2 linked regions of the Arabidopsis thaliana genome follow. The protein of the gene in region 2 binds, or shares a complex with, the protein of the main gene of each other region. Each region holds a gene or a part of one and is shown on either strand. Other genes may lie near its edges.

Evidence for each region. Proteins that work in one complex are often made in the same cells at the same time.
Region 1: WIP3 (region 2) and SUN2 share a complex: the UniProt entries of both Arabidopsis thaliana proteins name them as parts of the LINC complex.

What each region holds. Positions count from the first base shown.
Region 1 is NC_003074.8:3,357,733-3,362,277, forward strand, and holds SUN2 (SAD1/UNC-84 domain protein 2), read right to left. Parts: upstream 2,971-4,545; 5' UTR 2,791-2,970; coding exon 1,711-2,790; intron 1,112-1,710; coding exon 824-1,111; 3' UTR 556-823; downstream 1-555. Other genes in the region: ASD1 (alpha-L-arabinofuranosidase 1), read right to left, coding at 3,299-3,457, 3,540-3,686, 3,762-3,951, 4,032-4,088, 4,170-4,273, 4,363-4,434, 4,521-4,545. UniProt on the Arabidopsis thaliana protein: Component of SUN-protein-containing multivariate complexes also called LINC complexes which link the nucleoskeleton and cytoskeleton by providing versatile outer nuclear membrane attachment sites for cytoskeletal filaments.
Region 2 is NC_003074.8:4,337,731-4,342,217, reverse strand, and holds WIP3 (WPP domain interacting protein 3), read left to right. Parts: upstream 1-1,771; 5' UTR 1,772-1,781; coding exon 1,782-1,956; intron 1,957-2,233; coding exon 2,234-3,103; intron 3,104-3,234; coding exon 3,235-3,746; 3' UTR 3,747-3,932; downstream 3,933-4,487. Other genes in the region: AT3G13370 (formin-like protein), read right to left, coding at 1-554; AT3G13350 (HMG (high mobility group) box protein with ARID/BRIGHT DNA-binding domain-containing protein), read left to right, coding at 4,414-4,487. UniProt on the Arabidopsis thaliana protein: Mediates and enhances the nuclear envelope docking of RANGAP proteins mediated by WIT1 and WIT2 in the undifferentiated cells of root tips.

The sequences.
Region 1 (4,545 bases), 980 kb from region 2:
TAATAATTAAGGGTTATACTCGTTTTGGTCAAATGAAGAGTTTTTTTGGAGCCGGTGGTCCACCGTCACGACGACCAAACATGGGTTGACTTGGTTAGGAAAGGTTTCTTCATGTGATTTAACCGTAAAAAATGGCTATTTTTAGAGCTTAATTTTGTTTAGCTCAATTTGTTATGCCAGTTGACACTGTAAAAAATTAACATTAATCAGACATGTCAAAGATGAATTTGTATTTAATTTAATTTATAATCAAACAAGCTGTGTTGACTTGGAAGAGGGTTTCATATCTATTATTTGACCGTAGATTTTGCATGTGATGTGTTGGGAAGCTTTTAGACAAGGCAAGACGGTGCAGCCTAGAAGAAGAAGTCGTCACTTTGTCGATTACGCAATTCACACTAACAAGTTATGGTCCATCTATATACACACTCTTCCTATTCATCACATATCGTTGTAATACCAAGTACCCAAGGTAACCATTAATAATCCAAATTCAATATTTGTTTCAACTAATGAAATATGTATACTCTATTAGAATTTGTATGATTTGTTTTAGGTGAAAGCTTAAATTGAAACTCTGTTACAAAACCAAAACCGGACATCAAACTAAGATCTATATTATTCAATTCGGAGGATACATACCCTGACCAAATAAACCGAACCAAAACAGATTTGAAGCTAATAATCACGAATACAACCAAATGATTCTGATTACAGACTAAGAGAAGCTTTCCCACCACATAAACTAACACAAAAAAAGAAGAGAGATATCTATTAGAGGGAATGTTACAAAGAGAAGAAAAGTTTGACGTGGACTTTCAGATCAAGCATGAGCAACAGAGACTGAGTCTAGTTCACGGCCATGAACCCTGAAGCGGTAGATGCAAGTGTGTGAAGAGCTTCCATGGTTGGAATTGAAGTCTAGCCTGACAGTGTTGACAAGTCCTGAGTGAGCAGAGTCTGCAATGTCGAATGTCTGTGCATTGGACCTGTCTAAGTCGTAACTGAATTCTGTAAGAAGGGGCATTGTCTCAGTCTCCATATCTATGTCACCTAGCCATCCTGATACACGGCAATCCTTTGGGGCGCTCGATCTGTCATATGCTACAGCCTGTTCGATTAAATGGTGCATAACATAACCGTAAGATTAGTATTGCCTTTTAGTGGTCAGACAAGAAGAAATTTATCAGACAAATGATCACAAGGATGAACAATGATGGAAAGCAATGTGTGACCATCACATTACACACTCTTGAGACTATTTCCCTTCAGCTACTGTTTCCTAAGGATATCCGTAAACAGTGAATATTACAGTTCCACTAATTGTAAACTTACAAGCTCTTCCCATACATACGGTTCTTTTCTCTGTCAACGATGTCCCAAACAAAGCACAACAACACAGTGGCATTGATATTAGACAAAGGAACTGCTAAAGCTAGTGATTTGCAGAAAATAACAATAGGTAAAATCCTCCTCAATGCATATTGTCACAGCTAGTGCCTAAACTAAACCTCAAACTATAAGAACTCAAATTCACAAAACTAGTTTCTTGCCCTCTATTCGATAACCTATTGTCACCAGCAATCCAATCCGAAGTACAGGGCATCTCAATACCAACAACATTTAACAGAGAACCCTTCTTGAAGGCTCAAATTAACATATAAAAATCAATCATTTTGTGAAAGTTTAGTATTGAGATGTTAGTACTACCTTAGAGACATGTTCCAAAGTAACAGCTTCTGGAATTATTGGTGCTCTTAGCCTGACTAGAACATATCCATTGCTTCCTTTCAGAGGAAAACACTGTCCAGGCTCCCCGAAACTCGGAGTTAACATCTTAACCGCTTTGCTATGAACCCGTCTCCTGCTTGTCCCAAACCAATTACGCCCATTTCCAACAAGAAACGGATCCGAATGCCCCATTACAAAAGCTCCACCAGACGCTAACGCATAATCTACTCGACCAAGGCCATCTGCAACATGTTTCCCTATCTCTTTCTCCACTATGTCACGAGCATAAGCCCTCAGTTTATCAATGTTAACATCAGAATCACCGACCTTACCCTTCTTCAACTCCTCGTAAACTCTCTCTAACTCCTCTCTAGACACCAAAGGTTTAGCATTTAACTCATCTACAGAAACCTGTAACCTCTCTGTCTTAGACTCTACCTTCTTCAACTCACTATGTAACACAGAAGATGTGGAATCTATCGTCTGCCTCAATGCTCTTGATTCACTATCCATCTTCTTATCAAGAAACTCAACTTGAACCTGCATCATCTTCGTCGTAGTCTTCACCAAACCATCAACTGCAGAAATCCGACTCTCCAATTCCGAAAGCACCATTTCCGTTTCAATTGGGAAATTCGAAGAAGACAGAGACGAATCCTTCAAAGTCAATTTCCTAATCAACTGAATCAATCCAACAAGTAACAAAAGAGCCCCAAATTGCTTCGCGAATACCCTAACCACTGTCTTCCATTTCCCTCTATCTATCTTATTCCCCTGAGACTTCCGCGTCCGACGCTGCGTGGTGGTTGTATTAGTCCCCGTCGCGGTGGATCCTGATTTCCTTGTCACCGGACCTACGTCGTAGGTGTTGGATCTCTCACCGGCAGCCTCGGCGCGAATCAGATCCTTGTTCGTACCAGCAGACGACTCTCCAATTGCCGCATTGGCATGAGATTCGCTCGGCGGGAAATCAAAATTAGATTTCTTCTCACCGGAGAGAACCGGCGTCCGCCTTATTGTCCTAGGACTAGCGGTGATTGACACCGTTGACGCCGACATGATCTTCAATTTTGAACTACAGAATTCGAAATGCTCTTCCTTATGAATAAATAAACCCTAATTTTGACTACAGAGAGAGAGATTTGAAATGGAAGAAGAGTGAGGAAGTTTATATAGGAGAGAGATCACTACAAAATTCAATTTTGAAAATCTGAATCGTGTGTTCTTCAGTTTCGCCATTTTTATTTGTTTTGATGCTCCTCCATTTTTTTCAAAATTCATTATGATGGGCTTTTAAAAGCCCAATAATGGAAATAAAATGGCCCAGCCCACTTTCACGCCTCGTCATCTTCTTTTATGCTAAGAAGAAACTGTTGCTTCATCATTCTTGCATATCAAGATATCTAGAGTCGAGATAAGCTCATGATTAAAGAAAGTAAATTTATTCACCAGACTATTATTATATATACACAAGGGTACGTTATAAGCATTTATGGAATGTAATTAGATTTGAACCACAAAGAGACTTTTGACATGAAAGTTGATACTTCCTTGTCATTGTTTCTCTTCACACAGTGGTAGTTTTCTGATGGGAAGAAGAATCAGAGATTGGCATTCTTATCTTTGCAGATTCCTTCAACAAATCGAATGAAGAAAAGGAATGTGGCGGGAGAACAACGGTCATATCCTCCTCTGCCAACTCTAGCAAGCTTTCATGTGGTACAACCTGCAAATAAAAACCAATAAGAACATGGGAACACTCAGAATTTGTGATGATAATGATGTTTCTTCCATCTCTTGATTTTTACCTTCTCTGGCTGTGAGAAGGAATTTTCATCCATCACATTGGTAGAGGTAAGTACTGTCTTCTTTGATCCCGAAACTCTCATCACGTTCGGGTCCAATCCAGTTACCAACACTTGCATATTTTCTGAGTTAGCTCCGAAGTTTACAGCCTGCAAATAACAGATTTTGAAACAGTTTTTTAGGGTCAATATCAGAGCTCCGGTTGAATCTTTCACTCGGTTTACCTTTATGCGTATGTAATCTTTGCCATTGTTTTTCCAAGAGATAGCAGATGCAACAAGAGAAGTAGAGTTTCCCTTGAGTGTTGAAGTGAGAAGAGTTGCTCCGCTTGACTCTGCAAAAAACCGTTGAACCCAATAGCTAGGTGTTCCATATAGATGAGAGGAGTTGAAGACTATTGCATCAGGGTTCCACCTGAAACCAATTTAACAATTTGAGATTATTGCCTTATCTTCCTGAGTAACCATTCGAACGGAAAAGTAAGTGAGAGATACCGTCTATCATTTGTGTTCACAAAGAGTGGAGCATAACTTGCCATTTCAACAATGTCACTGCAAAAAGTCATAAGATGTTTAACTTATTTGATGTTTTTAGTTGAGATCAAAGCCTGGGAAGAGAAATTCAAAGGGAACCTATTCTTTTCAAGACCAATGAGAAACGCAGCTTCTGCAAGAGAGGCAAGAAGGCTTCCTGTACCAGCATCTTTTCCAGTAACAGCATATTCACTGACAAAAGCCTGTAAACAAAGTTCACGAGTGAGTAAAACGCTGAAAGCTTCATCTTGTGTTTGTTGGAATTAAGTTTTGTTATAATCTATTACCGCACCTTTGGACCTTTGCGTGAAGTGCGATCAAATTGATGATACATGGAAAACAAATTGCTAGCAGAAGTGTAAATCTGTGACAAAAAGGAAACACTTTTTTCAGGCGGAAGAGAGAACACAAGACAACGGTTACAGTTTCTGTCAAGATAGAAAATTTTACGTGATAGTCATAGTAATCAGCTGGG
Region 2 (4,487 bases):
GATGGTGCACCGTGACCTTTTCCTGAATCATCAGGTCCACTTTTATAACCTCCGTAGATTATATTAACGGGTATTTTTGGTGGTGATGGTGCATTGTGACCTCTTCCTGAATCATCATGACGACTTTTATAACTTCCATAGATTATATTCATCGATACCTTTGGTGGTGATGGTGCACTTTTATAATCTCCGTAGATTATATTCATCGGTACCTTTGGTGGTAAAGGTGCATCGTGACCTTTACCTGAATCATCAGGTCCACTTTTATAACCTCCGTAGATTATATTCATCGGTACCTTTGATGGTAAAGGTGCATCGTGACCTTTACCTGAATCATCAGGTCCACTTTTATAACCTCCGTAGTTTATATTCATCAGTATCTTTGGTGGTAAAGGTGTATCGTGACCTTTACCTGAATCATCAGGTCCACTTTTATAACCTCCGTAATTTATATTCATCGGTATCTTTGGTGGTAAAGGTGCATCGTGACCTTTACCTGAATCATCAGGTCCACTTTTATAACTTCCGTAGATTATATTCACAGGAACCTTCATCGTTTTTATGAGCGGGTTAGTTTCTCCCATGACTGGTGGATTCAAACTTCTTGCATGGGCATAAGGTCCACGACACACAAAACAAGTGATAAGGGATATGAAAACTATTTTGGGAATCAAACAAGACATGGTGGGAGGCATCAACATTATTCGAGGTTTTTTTTAGGACTAGGAAATGGGGATGTGAAAATTGAAATTGGTAGAAAAAAAGAAGAAGAAGAAGTTGTCTTTTTTTTTGTTGATAGAAAATGATTGTTACAACTTACAATATATTAAAAATGTGAGTATTTGTATGTATATATAATAGATTATTGATTCACTCAAAACATATAATGTATTGTTATAATGTTTAATAATGATATGAATTATGTTAAAAAATAAATATTGTCTCAAACACAATATATCTAATCATAATTACTGTCTTAAACTATAGATGATATACAATAGTTACTTATGACAAAGTTTATCATTTTCAATTTTATTAGTACAAAATCAAATATTTTCATAGATATCAGTAAAAATACTATTTTGACAATTAACAATATTAAAATAAAATAAATTTTGTGGATATTGTAGATTCTAAAGTAAAATAACTATAATAAATTTTAAAATAAATGGTAATCACATTTTGTTACATGTTACTAAAATACTTAATTTATATTTAATGAATCAGTTTATCTGTCCATATTTTAAAATTTCACTAAAATTTTCAGAAATGTTTTGGAATTAGATTTCAGATTGTAAATAGTTTTCACTAACTTTTAATTATATAAATATATTAAATATTTACCCATTTCCTCAACAGAATGGAGATTTTACATTTATAAAACAATTCCATACTTCAAGAATTAGCATTTATTTATTTATTTTTTAAATCTGTTTTATACAAAAAATAGATAAAAAAATCATTTTAAGGAGTTGATTTTTTTAATGATTTGTAAATGTTCAAATCTGCATAAAACATTATTTTGATTTTTGAATATGATACCAAATAAATCTTTTAAATTTTAAAATAGAAAAATCACACTTTTCATTATTTTGAAAATATTTAAGTCTAGTTTTAATGGGCCTTATCAGGCCAACATGTTGGGCTCATATACACACTTTAATTCCGACATGTTGTGTACTCCAGATCGGACGGCCAGCTTGGCGCACTGGGTTTATGTCATGTGGGTCCCACGTATGATTCGCACCATCTTCATTATTTTTTCTCTTTCTTTATCTTTAATGTTTTTTTTTTCCTGTGTCTGTAGAATCATTTCGTCCACTTTAATCATTTTCGTTGATACAGCTTCTCCCGGTAATAATGTCGGCGGATTTCTCCGTCGCACTCTAAATTCTTTAGGATTTTGTTTCTCTTGCTCATCTGTAACTCAGGCAAGCTCTCGTTGGATTGTTTTAGGTACGCTTTAAATATTGATTCGAGTCGCTTCTCTCTGTTTTCATTAATTTTGTTTTTTCAAAAAATTTCTGGACTTGATTAGATGAGATTGTTGAATTGTGAATTGAGTTTTGTTCATTGTTGTTTCGGTAGATGAGGTTAGAATAACACTATACATCAGTTCTTTCTTTTGAAGTAGTGAGCTGAATCTAGTTCTTTAGCTGTTGGAAATTTTCAGATTTGTGTCTCTGATGACAGAGAATTTGATACCTTTTTTTTTGTTGTGAAATGGATTTAGGCATGAATGAGTCAGTCCCTGATTCTGTGGAAGACAACGGTAATTCAGTCCCTGCAAATGGATTATTAGTATTGCCTGATAATGATCATGAGGAAGGAGGTGTTGGATCACCTCAACGATCGAACAGCGTTGAATCTCCTGGTGGATCAGTACATTCTACGAGGAAAGGTTTTGGTTTGAAGAAATGGAGACGGATCAAAAGAGATGGTCCTGTGAGAGATGAGGCTGCTCCTGTTGATGATGGTAGTAAGTTACTGAAACGTGGATTGGCTGGTTTGGTGAATCCTCCTTCTAAACATGTAGAATTTTCTTCAGTTGAAGCAAGGCAGAGTAGTGAAGGCTCTGTTGGGTCAGTGAATATGGTGCATCATCCAGGGGTAGCCAACGGGTTTAGTCCCGATATAGGTTGTATGTTTGCTGTTGGGCAAGCGTTTGAGAAAAGTGAAGAGCATAGTGGTAATACCATAGGTGGAAAGAATGTAGTAGGAGGGAAGGTTGTTTCAGGTAGCCAAGAGAAACTCTGGAGTGATACCATCAAGAGGGCTAGCGAAGAGCGGGGGGATATCGAGAAGGAGAAGCCTTGTTCCAGCTTGGATTCCGACTTGAGAAGTAGTGATTTTGTGTTTTCGACTGGCTCGGTTTCTGTTGGTAACCATGGAGAGAAAGATGAGAGATTGACGATGAATTATATTGGGGGATTTAGCAATGAAGGTCAAGTTAAGGAGGAAGTTCAAACATATAGCAGAAGCGAAAACGGGAATAAAGAAGACGATGGAGAGAGTAAGAAAAACAACAATCATTGGGCAGATAAAGACGCACTTGCAGATTCTATCAGAAGCTTTGCAGTTCTGCAGGAAGTTCTTTGGAAAGGTTTGCACACGAACCTTGATTTTTGATATCCATGTGAATTGTTTCAATGTTCATGTCCTAAAGCTCCCATGTTTATATTATCAATGTTACATGATATTTCTAAACTAACTATGCGATTGAAACGTGTGCAGAGGTTCAAAGTTTCCAGGAGCTAGGTAAGGAATCTGTACTACTACATTCGAACACCGATGAATTGAGTTCAGACCAGCCAAGTCATCAAAATTGTAAAGAAGATAACTCAACATCCTCAGGATCAAAGGCACTGATCTTGAAGGAGAAGGTAAAACTTCTGGAACACAAACTCGAGGAAGCGAGAGCTGCTCTCGAGGCAAAGGAAGCTAGGATCCAAGAACTCGAAAACTCAAAGATTGAATCTGAACTTGAATGCATCTTCCAGAGAAAGATTGAAACTGAAATCGAACATTTGATGCTCACAAGATCTCTGAGTTCACTACAAGTACTCCAAGAAACTAAGAAGTTACATTCTCTGAAAGAAGATCCTGTATCAAACCGTGGAAACATCTTAGGAAAAACATGTAAGCTCGGTTTCTATATCTTGACACAATTGATCTTGCTCGTCTCTATACTTCGGTTTCTCGTCCTACAATTCTCTCCTGCTTCACGATTAGTAATACCAACTTGAAAAATTCCTTCTCCTTGTTGTGTTACCGAACATTTTTTTTGTTTCTCCAGATTGTAATAAATAAGGTCTCTCAAGGATATTGTCCCCATTGTTATAGTTAAATTACGATGTTTAAATTTCCCATCAACAACTAAAGAGACATTATTATTTTGTGAACTAGATTTTTGATATCGAATCCGATCACCGGTTATAATGGTTTGCCGACGGTTTTTGTGATTTGACTCAAGAGTGTAATAAAACCTTAACTTAAATCTTGGTTTTTGATTCAATCTAGATTCGGTTAATCAACCGGTCCGGTCTGGTTTTTAAAACAATAGGCCATTGTTGTAGGGAGTAGTTTAATCGGGGCAGAGGCTTATGCTATGGGCTTGGACTCTCAGGTTTCGTCTTAAACCTAATCAAAGTAATTTAAGCCGAAAACGGAAGGAACTAAAATTGGTGTCTTGACTAAAAATAATATAAAGGACATAAAATTAAAGTCCCCAGATAAAAGTTTGTATGATTTAGGGCAAAATCTCAGAAGATAAAATCATTCAAATTTGTGTGAATTTCGTTTAATCCTTATCCAATTTGTCCCAATTTATAATCTTATAAGAAAAATAAAAATCTGAAATACGGTGGTCTCAATTGCTCTTACCTTTACCAAGACGGCCATAAGAAAAAAAAGATGTCGACCGATATTTCACCACCCTACTCTCAAACTCACGTGGAGCCCGTTAATGGTTATCCTTCTGACAACAA